Lepisosteus oculatus: one gene and its partners. Each later gene encodes a partner of the first gene's protein in a complex. Links are inferred from orthologs where the notes say so. Each region holds a gene or a part of one and is shown on either strand. Other genes may lie near its edges.

Region 1 (10,126 bases):
CACAGACAGAACATACTAACTCCAGGCCGACAACACCCCAGGTCTGGAACTGAACCCAGGGCCCCAGGGCTGTGAGGCAGCAATGCTAACCACTATGCTACTGTGCCACTACCCATGATGATAAAATGGCCCATATCTGACAAGGGCATTTAAATACCCCAGCCCATACACGAATGTCAAACAGGGTAACTTGCAGGGGAGCCTGCCACCTCCTGCCCAGCAATGTGCTTTCGGAAACAGAGCAAAAGCCAGACATGGCGGGTTCATGTAAAACCCAGCCAGTATCATCACCGCCAATCACTGACGCTTCCGAACCCGCGGCGCAGCCCAGCGAATCTGACGACCGAGAGCGGCACATCACCTGGATACCTCTTCTCGGGATCTCCATTCATTACCACATCCGGGATTCCGGCCATGATTTTCCCGAGGAGACGGTCAGCCAGCATCGATATCCGCCTGTGATCGTACTGCAGGGAAGACAGGGTGAGCCTGAGAATCTTTTGCAGGTTCTGAGAAGATGGGGGGCAGGGAGACCAGCTGCACCATCTTTGCTGTAATCAAACCAATTAAAAAGTTCGCATCTACGGAGCTAAGCCTAAATGCAGAAAGCAGGATCAGCAGGTTTTCTAGGGCTCTTTAAATGCTCAACCGCCGAAGATCTTTGCAAACTGTTCATCCAGTCAAGTGCAGCAAATGATTAGCTCCTTAATTAGCTCATTCGGAGCAGAACCCTTCTGGTCCACGTGAGGAGCAGGCGTCTCTCTGCCCACACGGTCTCCGCACCTGCATTTCCTGCTGTGCTATCTCACAGGCGGCGCCAAGGCCCACGACGAGCGGGGTGGGCACCGTGCCAGAGCGCAGCCCCCTCTCCTGCCCCCCCCCACTCTGCAGGGGATCCAGTCGCACGCGGGGCCGCCGCCTCACGTACAGCGCCCCCACTCCTGCCAACAAGCGCAGAGAGAAAAAAGAAAACCTCGTCACCCACAGGGCTCCAGAAACACAGGGTATCGGAAGCTAGAGGACCTCAAAACACTTCAACCCTGTGCACCTAAACAAAATCCTCAGCGGGGGCCTGACATCTACGATCACAGCTTCTTGATAAAGACTTCCTCCAGCTGCTTCTTGTTGAGGATAATAATGAGCTAACAACTCTGCGGTAAACACGAAGGCCAGGACAAATACGATGCACCCCAGCCTAACTGTAGATGCATACAGCACTACGTTACTTATCAGAGCAGGGAGAATGTTCTTTGCAATGAGGGGGAACGGAAATGAAGGGCTTGACGTATGCTGCCTTGCTTCCCCACTGCTCACATTCAAATCAGCTGATCTCAACACAGACCCACGCCACCTTGCGCCCTGTGCTGGAACTGCAAGGGAGTGCGGAGTGTCCCATGCCACTTGTCCCAGTGCACGTCTTTTGCTCAGCCAGTTCCTTCTTTACTTAGCCTCTCATCAAGCAATTAAGTTGGCCGTCTTGCATTGGTGACAACAGGAATAGGGAACAGTTGTATAACAACCAATGCAATAGTAAATTGGTTTTGGTAAAACAATGGTATTAGCTACAGTAACTCCACCGTCTTCTGGTTTTCACTGCACCTTCATACGACTTGTACTCACCTACGCCTCATCTCAATAGACGTACTGTATATTCAGTTAATAAGGAAACTGCAGTTGACTCACATAGAACGGAAATTCAGAGGCACCACTTGTCTATAATCGTGCTTCACCTTTTGGACCATAGATCTTGTGACCACTGATTGACATCAGATCGACGTTCCACTCGTTGACGTTAACCGGGATCTTCCCCACGGCCTGAGCCGCATCCGTGTGGAAAAACACCTTTTTGGAACGGCAGACGCGACCTGATCCGGAACAGAACACAAAGTTCCTTTGAAAATGTAAACACGGCTACGAGAAAGATAAAAAAATAAAAAGCATGAAGCCAGCCCAACTGCAACAGGAGCACAGGGTCTCTCACCTATTTCTTTCACCGGCTGTTTCACCCCAATCTCGTTGTTGACCGTCATGACTGAAACCAGGCTGGTGTCAGGCCTGATGGTCTCTTCCAGTTGCTGACAAACAACACAAGGCAGATGAGCAAACTGAGAAGTGGGCAAGCACACCCATAATGCTGCTTAGACGTTTCAACCTGCTCAGTATTTTTAATCTAGTAAGAACTGAACAAACCTAAGTCCGGCCTAAGATTTAATTCAAAGCTGTAATTCAACCTGAAAGTCTGTAAACCCAAAAGGGTAACATTGTGGAGTATGGTTATGTAATGCACGTTTCCTGAATTATAGTCAATGAGTAAATATTGAATAAAAAAGCACTATGAGAATACCGAGATACACGCTGTAGGAAGCTCAAGATCTAAATAGTCAAATGAAAGCACATTCAGCTCCCCTTCTCCCAACGCACCGCTACAAACACAACACGCACCTCCAGATCAATGAGGCCGTTACTTTTTACAGGCAAGTACGTGACGTCGAACCCTTCGGCCTCCAGCGCTCGGCAGGAGTCCAGCACGCACTTGTGCTCCGTCTGCGTGGTGACGACATGTTTCTTCCTGGACTTGTAGAACCGCGCCACACCCTGCAGTCCGAGGGAACACCAGGAAAATCGCATTACGGGGGGACCCGGTGAAGGACAACCCTGGGTCATGAAAGGGAGGCCAACCTGCAGGCTTTGTCTGTCTCTTTATAGTCACCACCTGCTTGAAACTAGGACACAAGGCTGTGTGTGTTTCAAAGCAGCAATGAATGGGCTCAATTAGTGATCAGAGTGGTCAGAGAGGTCAGTGGGCATCATGGTCTCTCACTGCTGGTGTGAGACGCTCTATCGTTAAATGAGAAACATTCTGGTACAAGGGACAGGAAGGGAAAACGAGAATGGACGTCGGCCTTCTAGTATTCAATACAACATTATTATAATCGTAGCATGACCCTGCCCATTTAGTCTGTCCTTCTGCCCCTTAATGAGCCACACAGTCTTGACCATTAACTGAATGCACAGGTTGCACTTAATCAACACCATCGATTAAACACCAATCGGGTTACACACGAGAGGAGGCAACTTTCTGTTGCTGTGATGCGCACTTTGATTGACATGTTGTTGGACTCCGTTGCGCCGCTGGTGAACACGATCTCCCTGGGATCAGCCCCAATCAGGTCGGCCACTTGCTACACAGGGAAGACAGAAAAGCAGTACGGGGTCATGACGGAGGAAAAAAGAGAAGCGTACATTTACAGTTCTTTTCTAAATCAATACCTTCCCTGTGCTTTAAATTCAGATTGGAGCTGACTCAAAATCAGCACGCGACTTCTGAAGTTTAAGGTGTTTTTTTTTTGTTTGCCACTGCTGTAAATGCCCCAGTCCCGATCATCCCGAGACGCCTGAGCGGCACCTGCAGCGCGTCGGCTGCCGTCGCCCAGGCCCGGTGGATCGGAGGGGGAGCGCGCGCGCCGGGCTCACCTTTCTGGCCACCTCCACAGCCCTCTCGCTCTCCCAGCCATATGCATGCGTTCTGGAGTGAGGGTTGCCATAGTAATTCACCTGATAGGGCAACATGGCATCCAGCACGCGGGGGTCCTGCGGGGAAGAACGGACAACCGTGGGATCCTGGACATGAGTGGAGAGGGGCCCCGCCAATAAGAAGGTCGTGGGTGCGGATCCCCCTTGCTATGGCCACTGAAAGCAGGCACTTCACTACTGCTGCTGCCCCAGTACACGGTGAGGTTCCTCATCCCTCTGTTCTGTACCCTCTTCATTCAGCTGGAGCCTATCCCAGCAAGCAGGGGACAACAGTCCATCGCAGGACACACACACACTCACACCAGGGCCAATTTCCCCCAAAGCCAATTAACCCACCAGCATGACTTTGGACTGCAGGAGGAACCCCAGAGAAACACCCCCCCGTGCAAACATGCAAACTCCACACAGACAGCACCCAGGGGGCGAAAAGGAACCCAGGGCCCCTGAGCTGGAATGCCGCCATCCTGACCACTCCACCACACTGACCCCTGGGGCGGACACGACGTAATGAATGTCTGAATGTGGTAATTAACCGAGCCGACGTACCATCGGCGTGGTGGCTTGGAAATCCATGTACAACGGGCGCAGCTCATGTTTCTCCAGGTCTCTGCCCGTGAGGTTCTCTGCCAACAACAAACACATGTGAAGAGAACGACAAAGACAACTGCACGGGCGGAAGCAGGAATGTTTTTTATGTGAAAGGAAAGCTCCACAGGCGAAACGTCGTGTTTCACAGAAATAAACCTTTACTTCAGGTGGGTAGCTGCGTCAGCATGCGTAGGCTGCAAAGGAACAAGTAATAGGTTTATTCCATGCTGAAAAAGAAGAAAGAGAACACAACGTTTCGGCCGTGGAGCCTTCTTCAGGTGTGAGCCTTCTTCCTTACACCTGAAGAAGGCTCCACGGCCGAAACGTTGTGTTCTCTTCTTTTTTTCAGCATGGAATAAACCTATTACTTTTAAACCTTTACTTGTTCCTTTGCAGCCTACGCATGTTGACGCAGCTCCCTGCTTGGACATGTTTTTATGTGGTGCCGGCTACCCAACAAAACCTGTAAAACGGACTCAACAGCACTTATAGTATAATCCAAAAACTGTTACCTTTCTCCCGGTGGTTAGCATTCGACACGCTTTCGGAATAATTCCACGCACGACAGGGAAAACCACCCCTGCTGGCTCCAAAAATGTTTCTTAGCACAGTCCTGCTCAGCATCGTAACGCGAAAAACAACTTACGTTGTAACTCTCCACAATCGGTTCACTACAGTAAGGAGATTTCAACTAAACTCACATCCGTGGAAGACGAAAAGGGAAAGAACTGCGTTTGAGCAAAGTTGCGCTCTGAAGGGCAGACTGATACACCAAGCTGGGGAAATAACTTTCCTTACATCATCACAGACAAACACACTGTTACGCGCACACCCCTACCTACGCGAGTATACAACAGGAAGTGCACTTTGACCTTCAACTTCACACCGGAAGTGTTGTTGCTGAAGCCAAAACGGGGAAGAGAGCGCCACCGTCACGTGGAACTCTGCAGCTCAAGGTGCTGGGAGTTTTTGAGCGACACCTGTCCCGTCCAGTAGCGCCTCGATCGCCTAATAATCAGAAATAATTCGGTTATGTTTTTGTAAACACGTAGTTCTAGTTTATATTAATGTTTAATACCTTGATTGTTTTAATTACCACAATGGCTGTGTTTTTTTAAACGTGACGTCTACTACAAAAGCGTCTTCCTGCGTTTTTGTTCTGTGCATGATTAAAAGAGTGAGGTTTTCGTTTATGATGATAGTGTTGTACTTTTTATCTGCGGTTATACATGCTCTATAAATTGTGTGACATTTAAATAAACGCCACTGTATGTCATTTATTTTGTACGGGTAACTGAACAGTCTTGCATTAGATGAGGGGTTTTGTTGCGAACCCAGTATTGAATTCGCGACAGAACACACCTACGTGTTTATAAATAGCTTGTATCCATCAACAAGACTCCGTGTAATAATAATAATAATCCAGCGTTTCGTGCTGTTTGTGTTGCATGTTTCCATTCTTAACGACAAAACCGCTTTAGCCTTTAGCGTTGAAAACGGCGGGGACAAAGTCTCCAGGGCGTCTCCGGGGCTGTGCTGCCGCTGGACAGGTACAGAAGGAGGCGACAGGTTAAAATTTAACTCCACGGGAGAAGCGGCTTTATCGTGGCGTGCAATCCGGCTCGGGGCGCGCCGGGAGGAAAGATGGAGGGGCTCTTGCTCAGCAGCAACCGCAGACGGTAAACTTCGTCAGAGCGGAGGAGACCACGACCGGCGGTACGTCCAACCTTTCCAAATAACAGCCTAAATAATAACAAGAGAACGCTAACGGCAAACAGAAATCGTTTAAAGAAACGACTTTGTATTTCGATGTCACTGTGCTGCTTTGTCGCAGGATGGCAGGGTAGCGACCTGCTCTCTCTGCGCAGAGGGGGAAGGGGAGGCTGTCGGCACGGATTGTGTCGTCGCAGGTAGCTGCTGTGTTGTCCGACCTGTCATGCCGGCGGCCTCACTGTCGTTAATGCAGACTGTGCTTTGTCTGGCTCTTTTTTTTTCTGGATGTCGTGACGACTGGACGGGCAGAGCAGGCCGGTTCACCTTGAGTGTATGAAGGCCTTACAAAGGGAGGGACCTTACACCGAGGCCATCTGTACAGGTGGCAGGCTGACAGGTATCCGTGGCCCAAGAACCGTGCGTCGCTTTGTGAACGCTTTTGAGACAGTCCTGAAAATGTTAGTTGTAGTTATATATATATATTAAAGTTTTGTTTTTTATCTATGTGGCTTAAAAAAAAAACTAGCGGTATTGATGTGTGCAACACCTGCAGTTACAGGTAATGACGGTGATAGTTATTTAAGTGCATTTTAAAAACGAAGTCCACCTTTGAGTCCCTTTACAAATATGTTTTTAAAGGTAGGTTTAAAGCACAAAACTGTTTTTGAAGTGGTACTGAACAAATGTCACTCTTTGTGAACTACAGAAAAGAATTGGCTGTATATTGAAGTACAAGTGATTGAATACACCGATAAAATATTGGTGAGGATATTAAAAAAGAGACATTGTAAACATCTACGATCATATCCACGTAGCCCTCCTACGGTATAAATCTCCCTGCCTTTAAAACTGTTTGTTCCCTTGTCAAGTACACGTTGTGTAATAGCAGTTCTGCTGTACTGAAGTAAAATCAGTCAACACAAACCTGCGACTTTGCGTCTGGGACCGCGGTTTAGACGAGGAGAGAAGTATTTGTTGCTCTGTCCGGCGTCTTTTATCTTTCATCCGACTTCAGGATTGATTTGATGAAGCCGGAGCTCTGAGTTTGGAGGCTGAAATACGAGAGGCTTGAATACTGACAACTGTATACCGTTTCAAAAGAAAAGATTAAAAGAGCTGTAAGTTGCACCTGCTCTGTTGATACAGCCCGATTCCCTTAACTCTGTTTATTTCGAATGCAGGTCAAGGAGAGGAGTGTGTTTAACCGGAAGCTTCAAGGACCATGCTTTCTGCAAACTGTTTCCATCATCTCTCCGTCCACCGTCACAAGCTGGCGGCAGCGCGCCGGCTGAGATCGCTGAGCGCGGCCGTGTGGCCCCACCCGGGGCCGCCTCCTCGCCGCTACCCCCCCGCGGAGACCCCGAGGAGGAAGTACAGAGCAGGAGCCCAGTCCGGCCCGATGGCGGCGTCCCAGATGAGCCACATCCTGAGGACGAACGAGTACAGCTTCGGGGTCCACGAGCTGGACGGCAGGAACGCCAGCCCGGTCCTGGGGTTCGACAGCAACCTCCTGCCCTCGAACGTGCCCAGCGAGGACCGCAGGAGCGCCGCCACCTGCCTGCAGAGCAGGGGGATGCTGTTCGGCGTCTTCGACGGGCACGCCGGCTACGCTTGCGCGCAGGCGGTCAGCGAGCGACTCTTCTACTACATAGCGGTGTCTCTGTTGCCGCTGAAGACGCTGATGGACATCGAGGAGGCGGTGGAGAACGAGCGGCCCGTGTTCCCCGTCTTGCAGTGGCACAAGCACCCCAACGACTACGTCAGCACGGACGCCGGGAAGCTGTACTTCAGCAGCCTGCGGACCTACTGGCAGGAGCTCATCGAGCTGCACGCCGGCGAGCACCACAAGGACATCGGCGCCGCCCTGGTGGGCGCCTTCCAGAGGCTGGACAGCGACATCTCGCTGGAAGCGCAAGTGGAGCTCGGGGACCCCCTCTCGCACTACACGCCCCTCAGGGTGGCGATCTCGGGGTGCACCGCCTGCGTCGCCCACGTGGACGGGCTGGACCTGCACATCGCCAACCTGGGGGACAGCCGGGCCGTGCTGGGGGTCCAGAACGGCAACGGCACCTGGTCCGCCTTGACCGTCAGCAACGATCACAACGCCCAGAACCCCGAGGAGCTGGAGAGGGTACGCCTGGAGCACCCGGCGACGGAGGAGAAGACCGTCGTCAAACACGACCGGCTGCTGGGGCTTCTCATGCCTTTCCGGGCTTTTGGGGACATCAAGTTCAAATGGAGCGGCGAGCTCCTGAGCAGGGTGCTCGACGCGCGCCCGGACATACTGTCTGCGAACGAATATGCCAGGATGCTCCCTGCAAACTACCACACCCCTCCCTATCTCACCGCAGAGCCGGAAGTCACGTCTCACAGGCTCCGGCCTCAAGACAAGTTCCTGGTCCTGGCCACGGACGGCCTGTGGGACCTGATGCACAGGCAGAATGTTGTTCAAGTGGTTGGGGAGCACTTAACGGGAATCCACTGGCAGAAGCCGGTTTCCGGGACCTCCTTCACCCTGGGACAGATGCACAGCTTACTGGCGGAAAGGAAATCCCGGGCCTCCACGGCTTTTGAAGACCACAACACCGCAACGCATCTGATACGCCACGCCCTGGGAAGCGACGGTTTTGGAGGTCTGGATCCTAGGCGCTTGTCCAGGATGCTCAGCCTGCCTCAGGAGTTGGCTAGGATGTACAGAGATGACATTACAGTTACTGTAATCCAGCTGAACACTCCCATCATTGAAGCACAGTGTAAAGCAGCTGCCTTGTAAATGCTGAGCTCCCACTACCATTTTATGTGGGAACAGTAAAATCGTTTTATAAAATTGACTGGGAACACGAACTCATCTCTCTGCATTGATATTCTTACAACATTTATCGTTACTGTTCAAAACAATACTTAGCTATAAACATTCACCTGGTAAATAAGCTAACAATTTGAAGACAATAGCAGTGTTACAGGGTTCAAATAGTAATGACAAGATGCTAGGGAAGGCAGTCACAGAGAAAGTGACCTTGCGCCATTATCAGAAAGTTGATTGTATAATTAAAAATATTAGGATTGAGACAACTAGTGGATCTCATTTAAAATGTATATTTCTGTGGTGCCTTCATGCCCAAAAGAGGCACTTCATTAAAAATGAAAATCTGGAATTATTAAAATTACTTTTAAAAATAGCTAGATAATATCCTATCAATTTGTTTAGCACCTAAATTAGCAAAATAGTTAAATATAGGATTTTCTGGATTTATTTCAGAAGGTTCCCGACTTCTCTGTATTTAGAACAGATGAGTGTAATTATGTTTCTAACCACATTCCAAATACTACACATTTTAAGTTCTTAACATCCACTGTTAATTTTAATGTACAATTATTGTATAGGGTTGAACAATTTGAATGCAACCCATTGGTCTGAACAAGACACATATGCACCTCTCATAAGAATTACCCATCACAAAAATCGGGTTATTCTTTTATTCATCAGTGTGAACTTTTGTCCGAGCTCTAGACTCCATTGGCAAATGACTAGTTTCTATAAAGCAACCCCCTTTATGTTATGGTTAAACGAAGCAGATGAAAAATTTCCAGGAAGGTATTCTTTACAAATTAAGTCCCACAGAAATACAAAATAAGCTTTTTTTTTTGGTCTGACCCAAACAGGGGTATTGGCACACTCATTTGTGGCCTACCTGAAATACTTTATGCAATGTCGAGGTATACCAACCTTTCTGAATTCATGTCTAAGGGCTTAAGTCTTGCAGGCAGATACAGCTCAAATGTTCAAATTAAAATTAATCAGGTAATACAGGTAACTTTAGGTGCTTCCCAAAAAATTCTAAAAAGGAGGCAGAATATCAGAGGACTCATCTCTGAAGATTTAAGACTAACTGGAAGAATGCCACCTATTCATAGTCTCTTCATAGTTGGCCTCTGCTAAGCCTCATTCTCCATTTAGGTGATCCCATATTTAAGCATTGCACAAAAATATCAGAACCAAAGGATGTTACAAAGATTGTAATCCTTGGGGGGGAAAAAAAAAACAAACTGCTGTGTATACTTTAAAGGAACTTTAATCAAGAATTCTTTACAAAATCAAATCCTGATTACAAAAAACAGTTACTTAATAGAAATACCAGGTGGTCTCTTTGAATTAACACAAATGAAATTACCTGTCATTTAGTCTCCAGAGCTCATAGAGCTTAAAACATTGAAGAACACAATATGCAGACAGGCAAGGGGCATTGCAATGTTGTTTCTCCCCTTCAGATAGCTCCACCAACTAGAATCT
Region 2 (10,672 bases), on another chromosome or scaffold:
CAAACCACAAAAGACAGGTTGGTTTTGGAACAACAAAACTGGTAGTGAAGGTGGTGCCCGTAAGGGAATTCCATATCACGATGAATCTAACAGCAAGGAGCTGAAACACATTATTGACCAATTATCAATAAGGATGAAAAGTTTTAAGCAGGATAAATAACAGAGAAAATATACAGTTTTAGTTTCCATTTACTAAGCATGGATTTTTTTAACAATTGAATGTCTCTCATGACACACATTATAATTAAACTATATATTTTCTTTTTTGGTAACGTTTGTCTTTTGGTAACTTTTGTGTAAAAATTGCCTGTTAACTTTGTCCTTTCATTTCCTGTAGCTTAGAGTATGACAGCTCTTCTCCGAGATGGATGAAGCAGGACTGTCCAGAAACCAGATGATAGCATGTAACCTCCTGCAACAGAAAGGCAGGCACATGACCTTTGGAAGCTGCCATAACTCACACAGAATAACACTTTGTCACTAATATAAGTAATGAACACAATATTGATCTTGTTTTAAGGTCAGAAAAGACATTATCTGCCACTGTATTTCTTAGTGTGATGTACTAACTGTATCTCAGTCAGAATATCAAGATCAAATGACAATTACTATGGGATTTCAACTGGTCATGTTGAGGACTTCAAATAAAATGTCACAACTAAAGTGATTTCTTTTCATCACTCTATTTACAATATCCAGTATAGAAATATACTGAAGCTGTAGCCTGAATCGGCAAGCAATAGACCCAAGGCAGGATACACCCTGGACAGGACATTATCGTTCACACATCCCTTCAAACAATCAAGGAAATCTATAGTATGTCATTTTGAAATGCGATTTGCGTTCTGTACATCATGTGGCAGCCTCAGACTCCCTATTTAAAACCCTCCCTTGATTCTATTTTCATTGAGACACAATACAAGTGAGTGTAAGAGGGTTAAATACCAATATGCTGTGTCTGCTCCCAGTCCTTCCGAGTCATGTCTGCATATCTGTAGCAGAAATCTGCCATTTACACTTGGCTTGGGTGCCCTGCAACACTATGCTCTAACCTTGAAGTAAAGAGCAGAATAATAAATGTTCAGCTCATGCACTATGGTCTGCTCAGCAAGAACAGAGAAGAGATCGAAGGCAGAAATGGCCATGCATATCCTGCAATAGAGCTTTTTATTTAGGATGGAGAAGAGAGGATGCATTTTTTTGGCTGCATTTGAGAACTACAAACTCATACATGCATAGTGTGTCAGAAAAGACACAGTGGTACATTGCACTCCGCATGAGAGAACACAATTTGATACACAATTTATGAGAGTTAAAGAAGAATCTGAAGTTCTCTGCAGTGTGATAGAGAATTATCTATTGTATCTGAAAATAATTATATACTTTAGCAACTCTGTGTGACTCACAGTGGTAAAGTAAACTATGTGACTGGATTACAGTAGTTGGAATGTTCACTACACCATATGAAGCTGAGCTGTGCATCCTTTATCAAACTTTAAGCACAAAGTGCACTTAACATACAATCATCATTTGCATGAATGTAATAATACAGATAGGGTACATCTGACTAAACTCTCCATCTGCAATTACTTCTCAATCTTTTCAACGATCTACAGTATCTACCGAGGTTTCCGTAAAACTTTCATTCGCTATGATTTTTTTTTGCCCTTCCTTTTGCCAATGCTTAGCAAATCTGGTGTAACGTTTATTTTTTTTTATCGACAAGTTTAGGTCACTTCATTCAGGTCTTTCACTTTAAAATCTGATCACTCCTCATCTTGACTAAGGAATGAAACAATAACATTTTCACTTGACTGAGTATATGCAAACATTGTAAAGCTTTATATACAGTAGCTGCAGTTGAATGTTTCCAGTATTTATCACATTTTTTTACAAATTACAGTGTTTCTTTCAGTATTGGGTTCAGAAAGTTTAAAAATGGTCTGGCCTTAATAAAGATGACAATACTGTAAGGCTCACACTGGAATGTGGTTTGAGACATTGGAGGGTTGAAGATTTATGGTTACTGCATACATAAGGGACTCCAGATAAGAGGTTTTCTTAGTTTGCTTTAAATAAAATGAAGCTGTGGAAGTTGAGGCAAAATAATGTATACATTCATTATACAGTAGGACTTTTTTTTAACCAATTCATTGGGGCAAATATGACAATGATTAACAGCTCAAACTTCTGTTCACTGAAGATCTTATTTCTCTTTGTACATATACTTGAGAATACAAATAAATTAGGGGGCTATATGTGGATGTGTTTGTTTTAAATAACTTTAATTACTATATTATAAAACTTCCCCCTTTTCTTTCGTTTCACCTCAAACAGGGCAAAAATACATTCATATGTAATAAAATATCCATCCATTTTCTAACTGCTTTGTCAAATTCAGGGTTGTGGGGGAGCTGGAGTCTATCTCTACAAGCAACAGGCACGAAAAGGGACACACCAATCCATCGCTGGACAGACAGATACACAGACACACACACCAGAGCCAATTTTCCCAGAAACCAATTAACCTACAAATATGTCGTTGGACTGTGGGAGTACACCAGAGCACCCAGAGGAAACCCCACACAAACATGGTGAGAACATATGAACTCCACACAGAGAGCACACCAGGTCCCAAACTAAACCCAGGCCCCAGCACTGCAAGGCTGCAATTCTAATTACTCCTCCAGTCAAAAAATATACTTAAAACAAACAAAAAAAAATAGAAATAAACTTGCTGTTTTTAAATAAAGTTGAGTTATTTGCCTACAGTGCAAATTTTCATTTGGTGAAGACTCTCCACCAGCAGAATGATGATTGATGATTCATGATTTTTTCTCTCTAAAAATGCTTTATTTTGATGACAAGTTTTTTTAAGTTTACCATCATTACCGACATCATCATAAGCAACATCAAAATCCATTCACTACTAGTGAATATTTAAGATGGTTAATGTATCATAAAGACAGTAGACTTTTGGCATTTTTAATATAACATGATGAGACCAGCCAAATATTTTGTCTCATGAGTGATGAGGAGAGGACATTTCTTCATTGCTTTACTTTCCAGTATAGGATAGATTTTGAGAAATTTCTCTTCTAAGCCCTGGACCAAATTCTTACAACATATTTCAGGGCTGTCCAAGCCTCTGGTCCTGGCGACCCATTGTGTCTGTAAAGCAGGAACATCTGAAGTGAAGTGTCAGTACAGTTGCTAAACTTGTCCTATTAAGCTAAGCAAGAACCAGGAATAGACACTCCTGACATTAAGCATAGCACATAATATTCAATAATAAATCACAAGCAATAATATTATAAGGATACAATTACCATCAAGTGTGTTCCAGTTCTACTACTATATACACTACTATTTAATCCCAGGCAGTCAGTGCCAGATCTCTGTAGGCACAGTGCCTAGGGCCTACAGAATTTTTAGGGCCTACGTAGGAGGGAAACACTAGTGACTAATGAAAAATGTGCTGAAACAACAAGCTTGTGATCGACTCTAGGTGCTCCAAATAATGATCATACGCTATCTAGCGGCTGTTCTAGAAACTAGAAGTATCGAAGTGATGATCACTCGGCTCACTCCATCAATCACGTGGTTGAGCATTAGAATAGTTGAAAGTGCGTTGTGTCAATAGACATAATTCAAGTGGCATTAGTCACGTTTTTGCACACTTCGGAGAGAAAGTGCCTAGGGCCTACGAACACCAAAATCCGTCCCTGCAGTCAGTGGGGCAAAAAAGGGTGGCGCAACATTGCTTCTAGGTGCTATCTGCATATAATTTGTATCTACTCAATGTGCTCTGTTTTCCTCCCACAGTCCAAAGACAAGATGGTAGATTAAATGACTTCTTGTAAATTTGGCCCTTTTATGAGCGTGTGCATGTGTATGTAGTGTAAAAAGCTCTGCAGCCCTGGAATGGATAAGCGGAATAGAAAATGGATCAATGGATAAACAAACTGTGGTAAGATGGCGGGAGCAGTTTGGGAATTGAGGCAGGAAACGCTATTGCCTGCAAGCTGGTAAATGAAGTAGGGGAAGGCATTTCTTGTAGCCGATGTGAAAGTTCAACTCTCGTCAGACCATCAGAATGAACTCAATACAGAACCTCTCTGCAGACCCGGGGAGTCAGCATTCTAAAATGAAGGTCCATGTGAAACTGGCTTTGTCTGTGTTAAATTAGGAGCACATCCTCTGGGCTTTGGCACCAGTTTGCAGGGATGCTCTTCTCACAGGTCAGATAGAAGAGTAGTACTGCAGCAGGCAGCTCGCCCAGCCCAAAGCTTGATTTGGGAATACAAGTACCTCCTTTTAGTTATTGAAATCTGTGATCAGGTGCGCTCTTTTTGAATTTTTTGTGATTAAGCATTTGTCCTCTGCAATAAGTATTTTAAAACAGTTAGTTTTAAAATGTAAGTATAATAATAAACTTTAGTTTATATAGCACCTTTAGAAGTATCTTCTCTAGACGAGTTAAGGGAAAAGCAAATAAATAAACAGTTTCAACAAATGAATAGTAACTAAGTTAGAAGTTACAATTAGCACAAAGAAACACAAGGGATTAGAAATGTAATAGAAGATGCAAGGAATGACATCCTTTTACGTAAAAGCCTAATTATGCAAAGGTGGTATAGATTTGTCGGAGTTTGGGTCTAACATAAATTAATTTGCACATCAGGCAGAGGGACAAGCAATTCATACAATACGTGGAAAGGACTGACGGCAACATAAACACCACTGCTTTATGATGTTTCAGCGTTTATTGGATAAATACTGATGGCATTTAAATAAAGGTATCCGTTAAAAACGGAAACCTGAAGCTCTGCAAATAATACAGCATCTACCTGCATCTGTTCACAAATCAGAATTCTGCAATTCAAAACCAGTTCCAGAGATACTAATATTTTATTTACACAAATAGTCTTTACAGCTATTAAATAATTCTCTATTTCTCATTATATATTTTGAAAAATATTAACTTTGGTGGTTTTTGATCTCGGAGTCTGAGCGCAGTTGCATCAACCCACAGCCACGTAAGTAACAGCTAATAATAATATAAAAATTGCTTACACTTATATAGCGCTTTTCTGGACACTCCACTCAAAGCGCTTTACAGGTAATGGGGACTCCCCTCCACCACCACCAATGTGCAGCATTCGCCTGTTAAGTATTTCAACCACTCCGATCATTTTAATAGTTCCTGTCCTGGCCGAAAAGACCGATGCGGGATACTCAACTGTGAGATTGCGGAGGGGTGGCTCTGTGGCTAAGGATCTGCTCCTTTGGCTGGAAAATTGCCAGTTCGCATTCTGTGGCCGGCAGAGGAATCCTACCCTGTTGGGCCCCTGAGCAAGGCCCTTAACCCCAACTGCTCCAGGGGTGCTGTACAATGGCTGACCCTGCCCTGCACTCTGACCCCAAGGTTCTCTCCCTGTCTGTGTCTCATGGAGAGCAAGCTGGGGTATGCGAAAAGACGAATTCCTAATGCCAGGAATTGTACTGGGCTAATAAAGCAACATTATTATTATTATTATTAATTTTAACATAAAACTGAGGAACATTATCCCCGGCTAAAGGAATGGCATTATTCTAAACTAGAAGACAGCGGCCACCTTACCCTCCTAGGGACTTTCTGATCCAAAAATATCCCTCGTGTAATTTCTTTTTTCAACAGGCTTCGCATTTTCAAGGCAAGCAACATAAAATGAGTGTAGTAGAAAATATTACGTCACTTTCTTCTCCAGTAGCCGTTACGGTATTATCAAGCGCATTGCTACGTTACAACACCTGCAGTCTCAATTTCAAAACCCACTTTATCACGAAAACTGTATTTCCTTTACACCAAGATCTTTATTCATAATTGACCTTGCATTTCTACACCGCATGTTCATTTTTCCCATTTCTATTAAATACATAAAAAGCTTTATTTTACTGTAAGTTATATGTATCACTACTCTGTAATTTATTTTAGTTTATGGATGTCCATATGCATATTAAATAATATGCACTACTGTATATGTACTTTTAATATTTGTATTTTTTAGCACGTACATCACGTTTCAAGATACATTGTGTAACAGGATGGGAAAAAAATCTCATCCGCCTGAAAATACATAAAGTTTGACTAGCCTCACAAATCGTAAACTAATTGTTTTAAAAATGTTTTAAAAGCCGGCAGAGCTTTAAGAAACGATGATTATATGAAACACAACAAACGTCTCTCTCAACACAAACTCACTCACACTCACCTTCTCCGCTCTCCAGTCCTGACACTTTATTATTGAGCAGTTCCTGATTTGCCTGTTTAATTTGAACTTTTTTATCAAACTAAAACAATGGAATTAAATATTAGATTAATATTATAACATAAATATTACACTAATTAAATATGTATTATTACATAAAGCAATTTGTGGGAAATCAGTCCACAATTATTAAGATTTCTATCGAGGCTCCTCGATAGTAAACTATCCTACGGGCCTTGCAGGAGTAGGTCGCAGTTTTTTTCCCAAGATGGCAGCCTCCAGCAGAAGTCAGGTGCTTTCTCTGTACAGGCTGTTGATGAAGGAGAGCAGTAAATTTCCTTCATACAACTACAGGTATTTGATCACTGCTTATTGCTAATTACTCGTGATCGCATGAATCACATAGCGGGCACTTCATTTAACGCTGTGCCATGTTATACAAGTGTTGTCATTGCAGTGTAACAGAGCTTTCAGGTTATAGATAGGATCTGAAAGTACGGTTGCATTTTTATAGCACATAGAAGTAATGATATTATTTAGCAGCAACATCTGTGTCCTCTTCTGGTCCCAGCGGAGAATAACCCGCACTTGTACCTTACTTGCGATGTTGATATGAAAACCTGCTTTATTAACTATGACCTTTTGGTTATGTGTTTTAGTTTTCGAAAACAATAACCCGATCCACAATTAGAGGGATAAATGTATCTTTTCTTTCCTGCAGTGATCTGATTTATAAAGTATTTATTCCTATAGAATTACGGAGCACAATGTGATCATTTGTATTTTCTTAATTACAATATTATCCCGAAATACTTGAATCGAAAAAAGTTAATTCCTTGTCCATTGTTGTGCACCTGTGATAGCATAAAGTAAAACCTATTACACTATTATAATTACAAAACCTATTTTAATTAATTGCAGTCTGTTGTCGCATTAAATGTTATCCAAAACTACACACAAAATGATCTGTTTTCAGCATTTGATAGTTTTTTGCTTAAGCCAAAGCCCTCTCTTCTCTGAGTTGTTACACAAGCTGTGAGATAAAGGTAAAAGGTTTTGATACATTGGCATAACAGTTTATATTAATAACACATAATTCGACACCTTTAATTATCTATGTAACGATTTTTTACTATGACAGGCCTTGGAGAGCGCAGGTATACAGTATAAAGTATAAAGGATTTTAAAGTACATGAAGAGTAAAAAAGTTTTTCTCCAGCTTCTCCAACCGCTAGATAGAAACCCTGTGACACGAACAGCACAGCGCAGTATATCGCGTCAGTACACACAATACAATGCGAAGACAAATTTCACTTGGCTCTACAGAAACTGCTATTACTAGTACTAAATTTCAGTAGTATATCTTACAGCACCGAACACTTAATTTATAACAAGTCTTACACAAACCCTGAACGTGATGTACAATCATGTTTTGCACAACCATAAATTATGTAGCAGAAATCATACGCTTTAAAGATCCTGCTGTTAAAAAGCCTTTGAAACACAATAATGGTGGTTCTTGGCTTAGACAGTAATTTTGTCTAAATTGCAAACATGTAGATTTTCCCTGTTCGTTTTCTTACTTGAATTCCATGGGCAATTGATCATTTACAGACTGTTGAAACTATAGTAATGAAATTAAACTTGCAGCCTATTTTTGTGTAAAAATGTTACTGGATTGAATGGACTAAAAAACAAAGATTAATAACAGCTAGCTCCCCATCCATGGTGTTGAGGTTAACAAGAAAGGGCTGGATGAGATACTTGGATCAATTAACTAACAGTTAACTTCCACAAAATGGCTGGGTACCTTGTTGCATAGTCCCACATCCCCACGTGTCTCATGCTCACAATTTTAAATGGGCTTCTACATAATTTCCATTTGTATCCTCTGGTTTTTATCTTGCTTTTCATTCTGAAGCAATCCGCTGGATTGATGCTGTGTCACTGCGTTTTAGGACTGTGAATACTGTATATCAGATCTCCTTGTAGGATTCTCTGTTCAAGACTAAAGGGCTTGAGTTCCTTCAGCCTGTCAGTATAGGACATGTACCCAATTTACTCATTGTGCTTTCCAGATTGAATTTTGGTAGTTTAATGTTATTGAAACAAAAGTAAAAGTACTGGAGATAGATGTAGTCAGCTACACAATTTATAATTTACAGTATCTTGTTTTGAAAAACACCATAATAATCCCAACATTAATAATGTATTTTGCGGACTGGACGGACATGGACCTATTAAGAAAAATTGAAAACCTCCCCGACTCTCTTTCTACTTGTTTTTATCCGAAAAATTTTAACTCCCTTCTCACTTTTTCTAACTCATAACTTAATCACATCAATTTATCACTTTTTGCATCCATTTATATATATATTTTTAGAAAGACTAGGAAATATTGTTTCACAATTATCACATAAGTTAATTTTTAATATCCTATCTGCGTTAGTTTTGTACAGCATTATTAATATACAGTAGGAATGCATATAATGCTTAATATGCAGTATATATAACATTCTGACATTTCTGTTAACTTTCAAAACGTATTCTTTATGCGATTGTTGTTGTAATTTGTAAAGTAGTTCATGTTCCTGTGGATAAGAAATAGATTTTTTTGTATCTGGGGATTACCAGTTCAGGTCCTGACTGCCCTTTTAGTAAAATCAGGTCCTGATTTTTTTAGGCCCTCTAAGTTTTGTTTATATTCAATGCATCTGCTGAATGTTGTTATTATAATGTAAAAACAAAGTTTTGTAAAGTATGTGTGGTAAAAACACAATCCTTTACTGGGAACACTAGGCTCACAGTCTAGTTCCTCTGCTTGGCATTTCCTGATAGTTAAGATATTGAATGTGCAGTAAGGCATCCTTGGACTGTATCCCAGGGGTAGGAATTGTCCTGAGGTGGAAGCTCGGAGCTTGATGTATGGCACAACTGTGAAAAGCAGCATGGCTCCATTTTTGCCCGATCCTATTAGCACAGTTTTGCAAGTGAACAGATCCTAATTAAAAGTGCTCACCATCTGCCAGAGCCCAGCACCGAGGTGGCCCACAGCATTTACCTTCCCTCATTGATTACAATGTATTATTTATCACGTTTTTTGCTGTTTCATAAGATGCAGGATAGCAAATGCCACTAGCAAAACGGGAGGTCTTTACTCCTCACCACCTACAGCTAGTGTGATGTGCCCCCTTCCCACGAGATGTGTGTGCATTAGGAACTCTCTGCTCCACAGTTGTATAATCAGTATTATACCTTCTGCTTAAAATAGAAGCTGTAGTTCTGCTCTCATTTGTACCTTACTCACATTGAAGAACACTTTGCTTTTGACAGCCAGTGCTATATATATCTATCCTTTTGTTTGAAAAATTTTGAGAATTATTTCTTATGTGAATGAATTCTAATTGAATTGCCTTATTTTGATGATTATGGACCTTTTAGTTGGAAGTTCTGCGCCAAGGTACATTGGGTGGCTATTGCATTGAAACACTGTGAATTGGAGGGCTGCAATATCTGGTGTGGTCAGTACCTGGATGGGAGACCTCCTGGGAAAAACTAAGGTTGCTGCTGGAAGAGGTGTTAGTGGTGCCGGCAGGGGGCGCTCACTCTGCGGTCTGTCTGGGTCCTAATGCCCCAGTATAGTGACAGGGACACTATACTGTAAGAAGGTGCCGTCCTTCGGGTGAGATGTAAAACTGAGGTTCTGCAGTCAGCTTCTAATACTTCATACTGTTAATAATCCCCATCTATGAACTGGCTTCCTCACTCTGTTCACTCTGTTCTCCTCCCCACTGATAGCTAACGTTTAGTGAGCGTACTGTGCACACTATGGCTGCCGTCGCATCATCCAGGTTGGGGGTAGTTCTATAAAACAGCTTACATAGCCTTCATATGTAGTATTTGTATGTTGTATTCTGTAGCCCATACAACTATTATTATTTCATTATTATTACATTATACTGTAAATATGATCAATTCCAGGTCTAACATTGTTGGATCTTGGTGGACAATGTGTTTACAATAGTTCAGTAGTCATATGAAGTAATCAGTGATTCATCACGATCATAGTAAAATAACTATTGCTGTTGTTCTTTTGCACAATAACTGTCTTAATCAGGGAAACAAAATGCAGTAGAGCACATTGCACTAAATGAAATAAAACTGAAATAAGCGAAAACAGTTGAAAAATGGTTTTTCACATGCAAAATCGTATAACTGAAGTAATTTTCATTTTTCACCATTTAATGTCAAAATATTTGTCACCTGTCACAACTGAGAACCCCTTTAGTGTTTCATAAAATTAAATAAAATCCTTTGATCTACACAGAAATAAATATAAAACAGTCCAGCTGCATGAGCAGCATGTTCATTCTAGAAAATGAAGCAGCTCTAGTAAGCCAGCATAATAACATGTAATGAGA
Region 3 (10,052 bases), on another chromosome or scaffold:
AAAAGGTCACACTAATGAGACTACAGCCGTAGTGAACAGCATTTTTCCCCAACCTCCCAATGTAACAAATAAGTATTTTTGACCATTAGTTATCATACAGTAAGCCATTTTGAATGTTGTTTTTATTATACAGACTGCACACTGTATTATATACATACTGTAAAGAGATGCATTTTACAACCATTTAGCCAACACAGAACTGCACTGCCAATTTATACACAGCAAATAAACATGGTATAAAATGTGAATGCTGGATGCAGTTTTCTTCTTTCCCGTTACAGACACATTTGTGTTACTAATGAAGATGCAAAATAATTCCAGGTATGTCCTGCAGGTCTTGGTAGGGCTTCATATATTTTTATCATGTTGGTATCACTCCACCTGTTTCTTGTGTGTGCGCATTATAATGCCACTATCAGTTTTCAAAATGTTTAAACAGAAAACTAATCCATACAATAAGATACAAATCAGAAAAAAACAAATGGCTGCAAAACAAGTATAATAAAAAAACAGCTATGCAATCTTCCTGACAGATAAGGCTTTTACTTCACATCAATCACCAAAGAAGCTATATTACATTGTGCGTTCCAGTCTAGAGTGATTGTGTAAAACTTGCTGTTTTCTTCGCCTTTGTAGACATTGCAACGCTTGAATGCTGGAATGAGAACTCTCTGTCTTGAATGGTGTAGATGGCGCCCGTCTAATTACTGGCGTGTGCTGTTTTATCGTTGTCTTGCTGTTTCAGTCTATAGTCAGCTAAAGCAGCTTTAATAGCATCTTCAGCAAGCACTGGCAAAACAAAGAAAAAACTGTTAGACTTGTCATGGTCAATACTTTCAATAAAGGCAACACTGTTAGATGTTAGGTGCTCTAAAAAGAATGGACACTGATAGGTTCATAAGTCAATGCATTTGTTTCTTAGTCCAAGACTAATGCTAAACAGGGTCCATCTAACAATCTACATTAGCAGTCCTGGACCAATACTAACATGAGTATGGGAAATCAGTCCTAAAACCCCACCGTTACAGCTGATAATTTACATTTTTTAGCAATTTTAGGAGATGAATGAAAAGATGGTGATAGGGTCTTGTGCTGAAAACAGATTGGAAACAATAGTGCATTAACTTACTTGAGCAATGCAGTTTGACAGGAGGAAGGCTAAGTTCTTTGGCAATTTCAGTGTTCTTGATTTTAAGGGCTTCGTCAATCTGCAAAGAAAAGAGCAAATTCAGTGATTAAATCCTTGCAAATAAGATAAATGTTCCAAAAATAATCGTGTAAAAAGTTACCTACCGATTTGCCCTTAACCCACTCTGTTGCCAAAGAACTGGATGCAATTGCCGACCCACAGCCAAACGTTTTAAATCTGGCATCAACAATCTTCCCCTGCTCATCCACTTCAATCTGCAAAGACACGGGGCCAAATTCAAGGTCAGGGTTTACTAAAAACTGTGAATACTTCTCATCCAAAACGTGAGCTTAATTTAGTTGTTCTCTACTGCAAACATCCCATACGAGCGCAAGTCTCATGGGAGTCGCAAGCTCATCTGGTAATGGCCATGGATACCAAGAACAGTTCGCTTTAAAGCTTCAAAAGCTAAGCACATAACACTTTTTGTATCTATCCTGACAAAGTACGTGTTAAATATAATTGGATGGTAGCTGTATTCAGTTAAGGTCACATTATCATAGCAAATGTGGCAATCACAGTAGAACAGGAATGTAAAGGGTGTATCATGCACAGGTAACTGCACAGCTAACTTACTTGTAATTTCATGACATCGCCACATGCGGGCGCTCCCACTAGTCCAGTGCCAACGTTCTTTGCATTCTTGTCGAGGGAGCCCACGTTCCTGGGGTTCTCATAATGATCCACCACCTTTAAAGAAACAAAAATGTCCCTGATTTATTCTTCTATGTCTTTATTGCAATCGTGACCCCATGGGTGGAAGACTTTAAAGGACACCATTTAAAAAAAAAAGTAAGAGGAGTCCCACCACCTTCCAAAACAAAAACCAGAACAGACTGATCTACTGAAAAACAGGCTGATTATCTTGTCAATCGTACGTTTAAGCACCTGATCCTCATCCCCTCCCTACAATAGAGTATTCTGGGCAGCACCGAGTCACACTCTCGGGGGGTGGATGGACACTGGATATACTCTATTAATAAGGCCGCAGGTTTATAGTCGAGCATTGTAATTTGCACATCAAACAGCAGGTTAAGGTTTACTGATGAAGCTAATGGGGCTTTAATAGATTACAGACAAAGCTGAACACAAGATTATGATTCCTGTAAAATGTGGCATCTGCGTGAAACTGAGGGTAACTATTTTTAATGGTGACCAGCAAAGGAAAACCTTGTGTGGGTAACATTTCACACAACCTGATCATTATAGTGCAATTGGGCCCAGGTAATTTTTCCCCCCAATGCCATATAGTTTACAATAATCTATGCTTTCAAAAAAAAAAAACATTTATAAAACTAGATATTCACGAATCTGAGTGAAAAAAGTCTGGGTCCCCGTCTCATCCCAAGTATCTGAATCTATTTTTAAAAAATCTCTAGGTCATTCTCAAATTCTCAAGTCCGGACATGATCCATCCATCTTCTAACCACTTTGACCTGCACAGGGTTGAAGGGGAGCGGATGCCTGTCCCAGCAAGCAAGGGAGTAAGGCAGGAGACTCCCTGGATGAAGCCAATTAACCTACCAGTATGAGTTGGGACTGTTGGAGGAGACCGAGCACCTGGAGGAAACCCATGTGAGTACGGGGAAAACATAATGTACAAACTCCACACAGACAGCAACCCAGGAGCCCCAGCACTCTGAGGCAGCCATGCCAACCACTGCGCCATCATGCCACCCCAGTCCAGACAATACTGCCTCACAAACAAACGCTAAGAAAAACATGTGTGTCTAATCATTATATTGTGGCAAGACAAGCAATAAAAAGGTGAATCATGAATCGTTCTTGAAAAGCACACTCTGAATGAGTGTCATTCCTCTCCGAATAAAGCTTGCAATCAGTTTCCGAAGTTCATGCTTCAGCAAATTAGGACAGATGATAAACACGTTGTTACTCATCTCTTGTGCCATCACCTTTTGTACCCTGCAAAGGAAGATCACATAACTCAGGTCATGTCTGGGAACGCTTACCCAAGGGGCTTAACAACTTAATGCAAATGCCCATTTTACCACGCACTGTAATCCAGACAAGGCTGTTCATCTTCACTCTGCCAAGCAGAAATCACCACCATGTCAGTGACAGACAAAAGGTGGGTTAATGCTAGCCAGGACAAAAACAGCTTAGCTCTAAGCATGGTATAAACATTTAAGTGACCCAGATTTCTTCTCACAAGTGTAGCGGGTACTTAAATGTGCTGTTGTGACACAACCTCGGAGCCTGATCTTGTCTGATCTCAGAAGCTAAGCAAGGCTAGACTTGGTCAGTACCGGAACCAGAGTACAGTAAGCCTCTGAGGAAAAACTGGGTTGCTCCTGTAAGTGGTGTTGGTGGACCAGTAGGTGGTGCTCTTGTGACCAAGGGTGCAAAATGCACAACAGAAAGTGCCAGTCTTTGAATTAATTAGTTTAATGTCTCATTCAACGGGTGAAGCATCTCTGATCCTCCATCTGATCTACAGTACAGTGGAGATGTTCGTGCAGAATGGCTGCTGCACTTGATCCACATGGACACTGCACACCCACAGTGATGTATGAAGTAAGTCCCCTCATGTTCATTGTGGTTGACAAGTTCTAAATGTAAGGAATTATTAATGATAAAGAAGGTCTTAAAACCATCCATTCCATTTACATAAAGGAACTTGATAATGCATGCCCCAAACACACACGTAGGGAAAAGCACTATCTTCTCTCGTCAGTTAATTAGTTAGCGAGCGGGGTATTGTAGGAGACAGCTCGATGCCCGCTGAAAGTACTTACAATACCGTTCTCTCAAACACAAATTGGTTTAACTGTTGACTGGATCAAAGCGGTTCAAGTTTTCGAAAAACTGCAGAATAGAACAAGTCATCCGTATTGCGTTTACGTCACTACAGTCGTCTCGCCGCTACGCGCATAGCGGCATTAATGACAGCATAACAGCGCGCCGTATTGCATGATTCAGTCCAAGCATAAGATTAAAAAACGCCTTGAAACGTTTTACGTCTTGAAAAATTCTAAAGGCAACAGTGTCGCTTATCAAATACAGAAGACACGGAGGGGTTCACCGCCGTGTCGTTACAGGCAAAACATGACCCGACCCGATGCCGTCACACGAGGTGACATTAAAAACAACGTTACAAAACAGGGGTTTTAAACTCCACCTGGAATCGGATGGCCAATTCCCACAGCTGCTTCTTTTTGTAGGTGTCGTTGTCGAAAGCGTGTGTTTTTCTAAAACGCAGTTAAAAGTTACACCAGCAAGGAACGCCCCCTGTAGGTATCCCATTACGACATACGCACGACATAAAAAAAGAGTCGGGAACGCAAACGGTGAGAATGCAGACACCCGGACGGCAGCGGTGAAAGACGGCCCTGTTTCCACGATACCTTTTTGTGATAAGGCAACGACACGGTGAGTTCCGGCGCCGAAAGCCTTCTGAAGAAAAACAGCGGGGAGCAACACCGCTTCACCATCGCCACCGCCATCTTTCCAGCGAGGATGCGAGACAGCAACTGTCCCGAGGCAGCCGGAGCGAGCGCATAAGCACCTTCCTGCTCGCGTGCGTAACGGGGGGAGGAGTTGCGTCTAATACCCCCCCCCCCCCTCCTCCCACACGTTTTGCAAAGGACATTTCTTTCATGCAATATTACCTAAGCAATTACATTCGAAACATCACGAACGCACCAACACCATTGACGGATATTCATTTTGTAACCGATTCTGTTCGGATTCGTAATGAACTCTTGGCAGCGTTCTGATTTGTTCCCGTCTTTTTGGAGGCCGTTTCTCCACTTTTTTGTATTATTTTATGCTGCATTAAATTTTTGAAAAATAAAAGAGGGGTACACCTATTCTTTCCCATCTGCCAATCCGTTTTATTGTAAAGAAAAATCAACACAGCAGGAGGAAATGCTCAAAAGCTTATGAAACAGTAGGCTTACACAACCTTAACTTAACGTGCAAGAAAACTGGGATACTGAGGGACAGTGACAACTGCACTTTCGTCTGTATCTTAATAAAAGTCCGAACTCCACATACCGTACTTAAAAAAATATATATTTTATTAATGCTGTATTAATTGACCGTGTATTGGACGAAGCCGTTACTGAAAATTCAAGGTTGCCCGGTAAATGGTTGAATGGAAAAATATTTACGTGTAAAATGAAACATAATGATGTAGTTGTCTGGTGTATATTTATTCACTCTGTTATTCGTAGGGGGTGGGAATTTTTTAACTATTACTACGGTAACACTCTATCATTACTCGAAGACCCTATGAAACATGGCCCTCCGCTGCATTAATAGAATCACGTGGTTCACTGCAAGCGCTGCTGGTCCCTTGTGACTGAAGGTCCTGAGGAAAAAGTGCGTCTGAACACCTGTGAAATCGCCTGAACATCCGAGTCGACTCAAGTGAAATTATACGTATAAATCGTATCGCGATTGACTGCCCTTTCCCACCGTTAATTTATGAAGGAGGTCGACGCGCTTTCATTGAGCTGCGTTGTATATTTTTCCGCCTTGTGATTTTTTTCGTGGGGCCGGGCGGTGTCTTGGGCAGCTCACCGCTGTTACCAGGCAGATCGAGTCCCAACATGGCGGCGACGGGGAGCGAAGAGGAGACGCAGTTGCAAGACATGGAGGAAGAAGCGGCCGGCGGAGAGAGGGAGATGGAGTCAGAAGAGGAAGGCATGGGAGTCGAAGGGTCCGATGAGGAGGAGGGAGACTCCTCGGACGATGAGAAGGAAAACGAGGCTGAAATCCAGCGCTTGGAGGAACAAGTAAGGAAATGAATGAATGGGGCTGGACGATATTGCAAGTGCACCACCGACATGGAATGATTCACTTAGCAAATGGTGTTTAATTAAACTGCAGCCCAGCAGTAATATTTTCCTTCTAAAGTCCTAACTGCACAAAAAAAATTACGAGCTCTAGGCGAATGCAGGCCGTGGAAACGGCAAAAGGCATATCAGTTGAGAAAACGCAATTGGACCGCTAATGAAAAAAAATGTATTTTATAGCTGCATATTCATACACGCCTGGGGATTTAAATTACTGCGCTATCTAGTCCTTTCCGACGCCCATTCATTTAGCAAGCAGGCGCACCGTATGCAGGTGAAAGCAACGTACTTACCGAAACGCAGAGCTAGCTAGCTACACTTCACAATCACCGTTGCTTCACTTCGGAGGTTGTGCACTTTAATACGAATGTAATTAAACTGTGTGTACGTACGTAACCCCTCGGTTTTGACACATTGCATCGCCCGGCGTGCTGCGCAGATTTGCCGAATGGTGCAGGAGGCTGTTGTAAATGCTGGTGTGCGGCGGGTTTGCATGATTAGAGAAGCGGGGTTTATTTCTGTCGTCCTCTGAGCTCCCAGCGGAAGCCCAGAAGTCAGTAACGATCGTGTGCCCCTCTAGATATAGGTTAACCTCACGTGACGATTCCCCGATAAAACCCCGTTTTTACTGACTTGCAAGTACTGTACTGTTTATGCCCGACACTGCTAGCAGTGACATTACTGAAATACAATTGACGAGTCGTTGCGTTTAATCCTTAAAATCGATCTTTTTAGCTCTCTTTTAGCGTTTGATTAACATAAGGATACTGGCCGTCATCCTTTTACCGGGTGTGAAACTTGTGCTACCATTAACCCTTACCCCTGTTCTCGCTCTTGTCCAGGGTGTCTGTAATCGGAAAAACAAGCCAGGGAAAGAAACAGGCGCAGAGAGTCGTTATGCGGTGAAATATTTTATGGGTGAAAGCAATGGAAGGCAATTAAGAGCTAAAGAGGAAAGTCGTCACACAAGAGCGGGGATCATAGCACAGAGGTTAATTAAATGTAGCCAAATGGACTTTAAATCCTTAGCAAATATGATCTTTCTAGTCTTGAATGTGTACATTGTATAAATTATAATGAGAATGACATGCTGCATAAGGTTGCATGTTATAATGATAAATTATGTATAAGGCTAAATAATGGGCTCCATTTACTTGGTGGCAGGGAAGGTATTGTCTGAGAGTGGAGAAACAGAAATCTGTTTTCACATGCCTGTGTTAGCTGATAACTGGCTTGGGAAGAAGACAGCGTTTCAGCTCCCTTACATATAGCCAATCTTTAATCTTTTGACGAAAGACTAGTAAGACAAAGTATTGCTTCAAAGAAATAAGCTTCATGGTCTTCTTTTCTGCTTTCCTCTTACAAAAGACCTGTTTGAAATGCCCTGTGTGCTATGTGTGATAAAGACCACAAGATCAACTTTAAAGTGTCCTATTGCCACAGCTGCAACCATTTTCACAATGCATGTCATTTAAGTAAAAAAAAGACAGGTGGTGTAAAATGGATATTTAGATGGGGGGGTTGCTCATTCATTAATTAAAACATTTCTTTACTGGGATGTGTTTTGTGTGGCAAATGGGCTTAGAAGCCTAGAGGAAATATTGGCTGTGCTTTTAAGCTAGGTGTGGCAGTAAGCATTGGTGCCTCGCAGCTCTTGAACCCTGGCTTTGATTCTGGACAGGGGCAGCTCCTGAGCTGTTTGTATGTTCTTCTTGTGTAGGATTTCACAGGGTGTTTCTAGACATGTGCTCAATAGGTGTGTGAGTGTGAGTGTCTCGAGATGGGACTGACATCCTGTCTTCTAGGGTGTTGTTTTCTGGGTAGCTGTGACTTTACCAGATTGTGGTGATGGGCCGGTAAAACCGAAGTTGCAGTGAGTTTTCTGTGTTATTCGGTGAGAAGACCTAGTAGTTTATGGCCCTCTTGTTCCCCACTCTGTATAAAGTACTGGACACTGTCTTGTTTTTGGGTGGACTGGGCTTTGCTTGCTCACCTGTGATGTGCTCTTGCCCAACAGCTGTCCATCAACGCCTTCGACTATAATTGCCATGTGGACCTGATTAAACTGCTCCGCCAGGAGGGGGAGCTGGTGCGTCTGCACAGAGCGCGACAGAAGATGAGCGAACTCTTCCCTCTCACGGAAGGTGGGTGGCCATGTTTTCTTTCACTGCGCTTATTCGTTAACCTGCCTTTAAACACCCCTTTCAGATACTGAGATTACAGGCTTTAGAAACATATGAGCCAATCTGTGTATTGTACACATTGGAGTCCATTGATTCACCAGTCTGACTGATCTCGATCACGAACATGGTCCCATAGGACAGTAGCTGTCTGTCACTTCCAGTACATGCAAGTGTTTGAAATGGAGCTGCAAAAATGGAAGTGAAGCTTTTTTTTAATATTCATGTCGGTTTTCATTCTTTCAATAAAGACCTAAATTGCGTGAAAAGGGGAAAACGAGCAAAATTTGAGCATCATCTTTTCCCTAGGTAAAAATGCATATTAACCCTGTCTTACCCTCGCAGTCCCTGCAAGCGCTCGGTTCAGATCTTTTGCACCTTGTACTTGTAGATGGATAGTTGAGACAGACTGCCTCAGTCCCGTGCAGTGATTTGTTTGTACAAAAGTAAAGGAAATACCTGTATTTTCTGTGGATAAATTTAAGTATTTTGTCTCATGCATTTCTACATAGAGATCTGGTTGGACTGGCTGAAAGATGAAATACGCATGGCAGATCAAGATTCTGATCGGGAGAAAGTGTATGAGCTCTTTGAGAAGGCAGTCAAGGATTACATCTGTAAGTAAGACTGTTTTCTTTTACAATTTATTAAAAATCTGGGCTCGATTGTGCTTGACCCATTCTTATTTTGCATACCAAATTAAGCCCTGCCATCTCCTTTATATGTTGCTCTTTGTCTTTGTGTTCCTTGAGTGATGTTAAGGTGCTTTATTAAATTCATGTGAATTTTGTGAATTGCAAAACTATCACTTTTTAACCACCAAAAGATATGTCAAACCAGAAATACTTTTAGGCTCAACGACATTTATTCATTTACCAAAAAAAGATGCTAATAGGTTATGTCTCCAGCACTGTTGTAACTGATTATTCATCAGGACTCTTTAATTTCCTGCCATGTTGTTTTGGAATGCAGGCCCCGAGATCTGGCTGGAATACGCTCAGTATTCCATTGGGGGGATCGGGACTCAGGGTGGGATACAGAAAGTGCGAGAGATCTTTGAAAGAGCCCTGACAGCTGTGGGCTTGCACATGACTAAAGGGACGGCCGTGTGGGAGGCGTTCAGAGAGTTTGAGAACGCTATCCTGGGAACTGTACAGGTAAGGCACGCCGGGCAGAGTGGTGCCTCTCCAGTCCTGGTCCTGAAATCAGTGGTCTCCAACCAGGCTTGTGGAGAGACCAATCCACTAAGTCTTACAGGTCGCTCTTAATCACATTTCTAAAAAATAAGAGCCCTTGTAAATGACTATATTAGGAAGTAAAAATGTGCTCAATTAAAGGAACCCTGTTCTTTGAGGCATAGTCTTCCGTTTCATATTATTTTAAAATGGCATAGTTTAACAAATCACCTGCAAAGGAAATTGATGTAAGTGTTTAGAAATGAGTGATTTCATGTTTAGTTATAAAACCCACTGAACTGGGGCTCTCCTGGACTGAGTTGGAAATGATCAATGGCAATTTGAATGTGGAAGTGTGTCAAGTACATTATGTGCTCATCTGCGGCACAGAGCTTGTATACGCACACTCCAGTAAGTATTGTGTCCACCTGGTCTGCGAGTACTTCACGAAGAGCTCATTCCTTTGCACCTGGAGCCTCTAGTATGATTTCGGTGTTAGTTCCCCATTGTTTTTCCCCTTTAGACAGATGCCTGCTAGTTCTGCTCCATATGGTTAAAACCTGACAATACCTTTTTATATCCACAGCCCCTTCCAGGCAGTGTTCCCACTCCTGAGCAGCAGGCGCTATTGAATGCACAGCTTGAGCGAATCCACACACTGTTCCGGCGCCAGCTGGCTGTCCCTTTA

Evidence for each region.
Region 2: the proteins of nfs1 (region 1) and lyrm4 are in contact, whole or in part, in a crystal structure (PDB 6W1D), measured with the Homo sapiens proteins. The link is inferred for Lepisosteus oculatus from reciprocal best matches to the Homo sapiens genes NFS1 and LYRM4. Residues at the interface, in NP_066923.3 of Homo sapiens: Leu56, Arg57, Pro58, Leu59, Pro68, Leu69, Pro71, Arg72, Leu74, Asp75, Leu78, Glu314, Tyr317, Arg321, Asp372, Arg412, Phe413, Thr414, Thr415, Glu417, Glu418, Tyr421; in NP_065141.3 of Homo sapiens: Phe23, Tyr26, Asn27, Tyr28, Thr30, Tyr31, Arg34, Arg35, Asp38, Val65, Arg68, Gln69, Ile72, Thr78, Asp79, Lys80, Leu81, Ile82, Ile83, Asn85.
Region 3: the proteins of nfs1 (region 1) and iscua are in contact, whole or in part, in a crystal structure (PDB 6W1D), measured with the Homo sapiens proteins. The link is inferred for Lepisosteus oculatus from reciprocal best matches to the Homo sapiens genes NFS1 and ISCU. Residues at the interface, in NP_066923.3 of Homo sapiens: Tyr360, Val361, Glu362, Glu364, Ser365, Leu367, Met368, Ala369, Lys371, Glu399, Asp400, His403, Ser404, His429, Arg432, Leu433, Glu435, Met436, Ser437, Pro438, Leu439, Glu441, Met442, Trp454, Thr455; in NP_998760.1 of Homo sapiens: Tyr35, Val40, His42, Tyr43, Glu44, Val49, Gly50, Ser51, Leu63, Val64, Gly65, Ala66, Pro67, Ala68, Cys69, Gly70, Val72, Lys74, Phe90, Lys91, Thr92, Phe93, Gly94, Cys95, Gly96, Ile99, Lys135.

Annotation. Positions count from the first base shown.
Region 1 is NC_090711.1:2,605,132-2,615,257, reverse strand, and holds the start of nfs1 (cysteine desulfurase), read right to left. Parts: upstream 4,997-10,126; 5' UTR 4,747-4,996; coding exon 4,635-4,746; intron 4,158-4,634; coding exon 4,081-4,157; intron 3,592-4,080; coding exon 3,475-3,591; intron 3,183-3,474; coding exon 3,099-3,182; intron 2,596-3,098; coding exon 2,443-2,595; intron 2,076-2,442; coding exon 1,982-2,075; intron 1,866-1,981; coding exon 1,731-1,865; intron 942-1,730; coding exon 784-941; intron 468-783; coding exon 362-467; intron 1-361. Other genes in the region: pyruvate dehydrogenase [acetyl-transferring]-phosphatase 1, mitochondrial, read left to right, coding at 7,058-8,608.
Region 2 is NC_090701.1:18,437,787-18,448,458, forward strand, and holds the start of lyrm4 (LYR motif-containing protein 4), read left to right. Parts: upstream 1-6,492; 5' UTR 6,493-6,519; coding exon 6,520-6,605; intron 6,606-10,672.
Region 3 is NC_090717.1:6,282,155-6,292,206, forward strand, and holds iscua (iron-sulfur cluster assembly enzyme ISCU), read right to left. Parts: upstream 4,733-10,052; 5' UTR 4,654-4,732; coding exon 4,555-4,653; intron 1,880-4,554; coding exon 1,766-1,879; intron 1,405-1,765; coding exon 1,294-1,404; intron 1,209-1,293; coding exon 1,130-1,208; intron 790-1,129; coding exon 701-789; 3' UTR 105-700; downstream 1-104. Other genes in the region: sart3 (squamous cell carcinoma antigen recognized by T-cells 3), read left to right, coding at 5,764-5,949, 8,027-8,153, 8,702-8,806, 9,162-9,346, 9,951-10,052.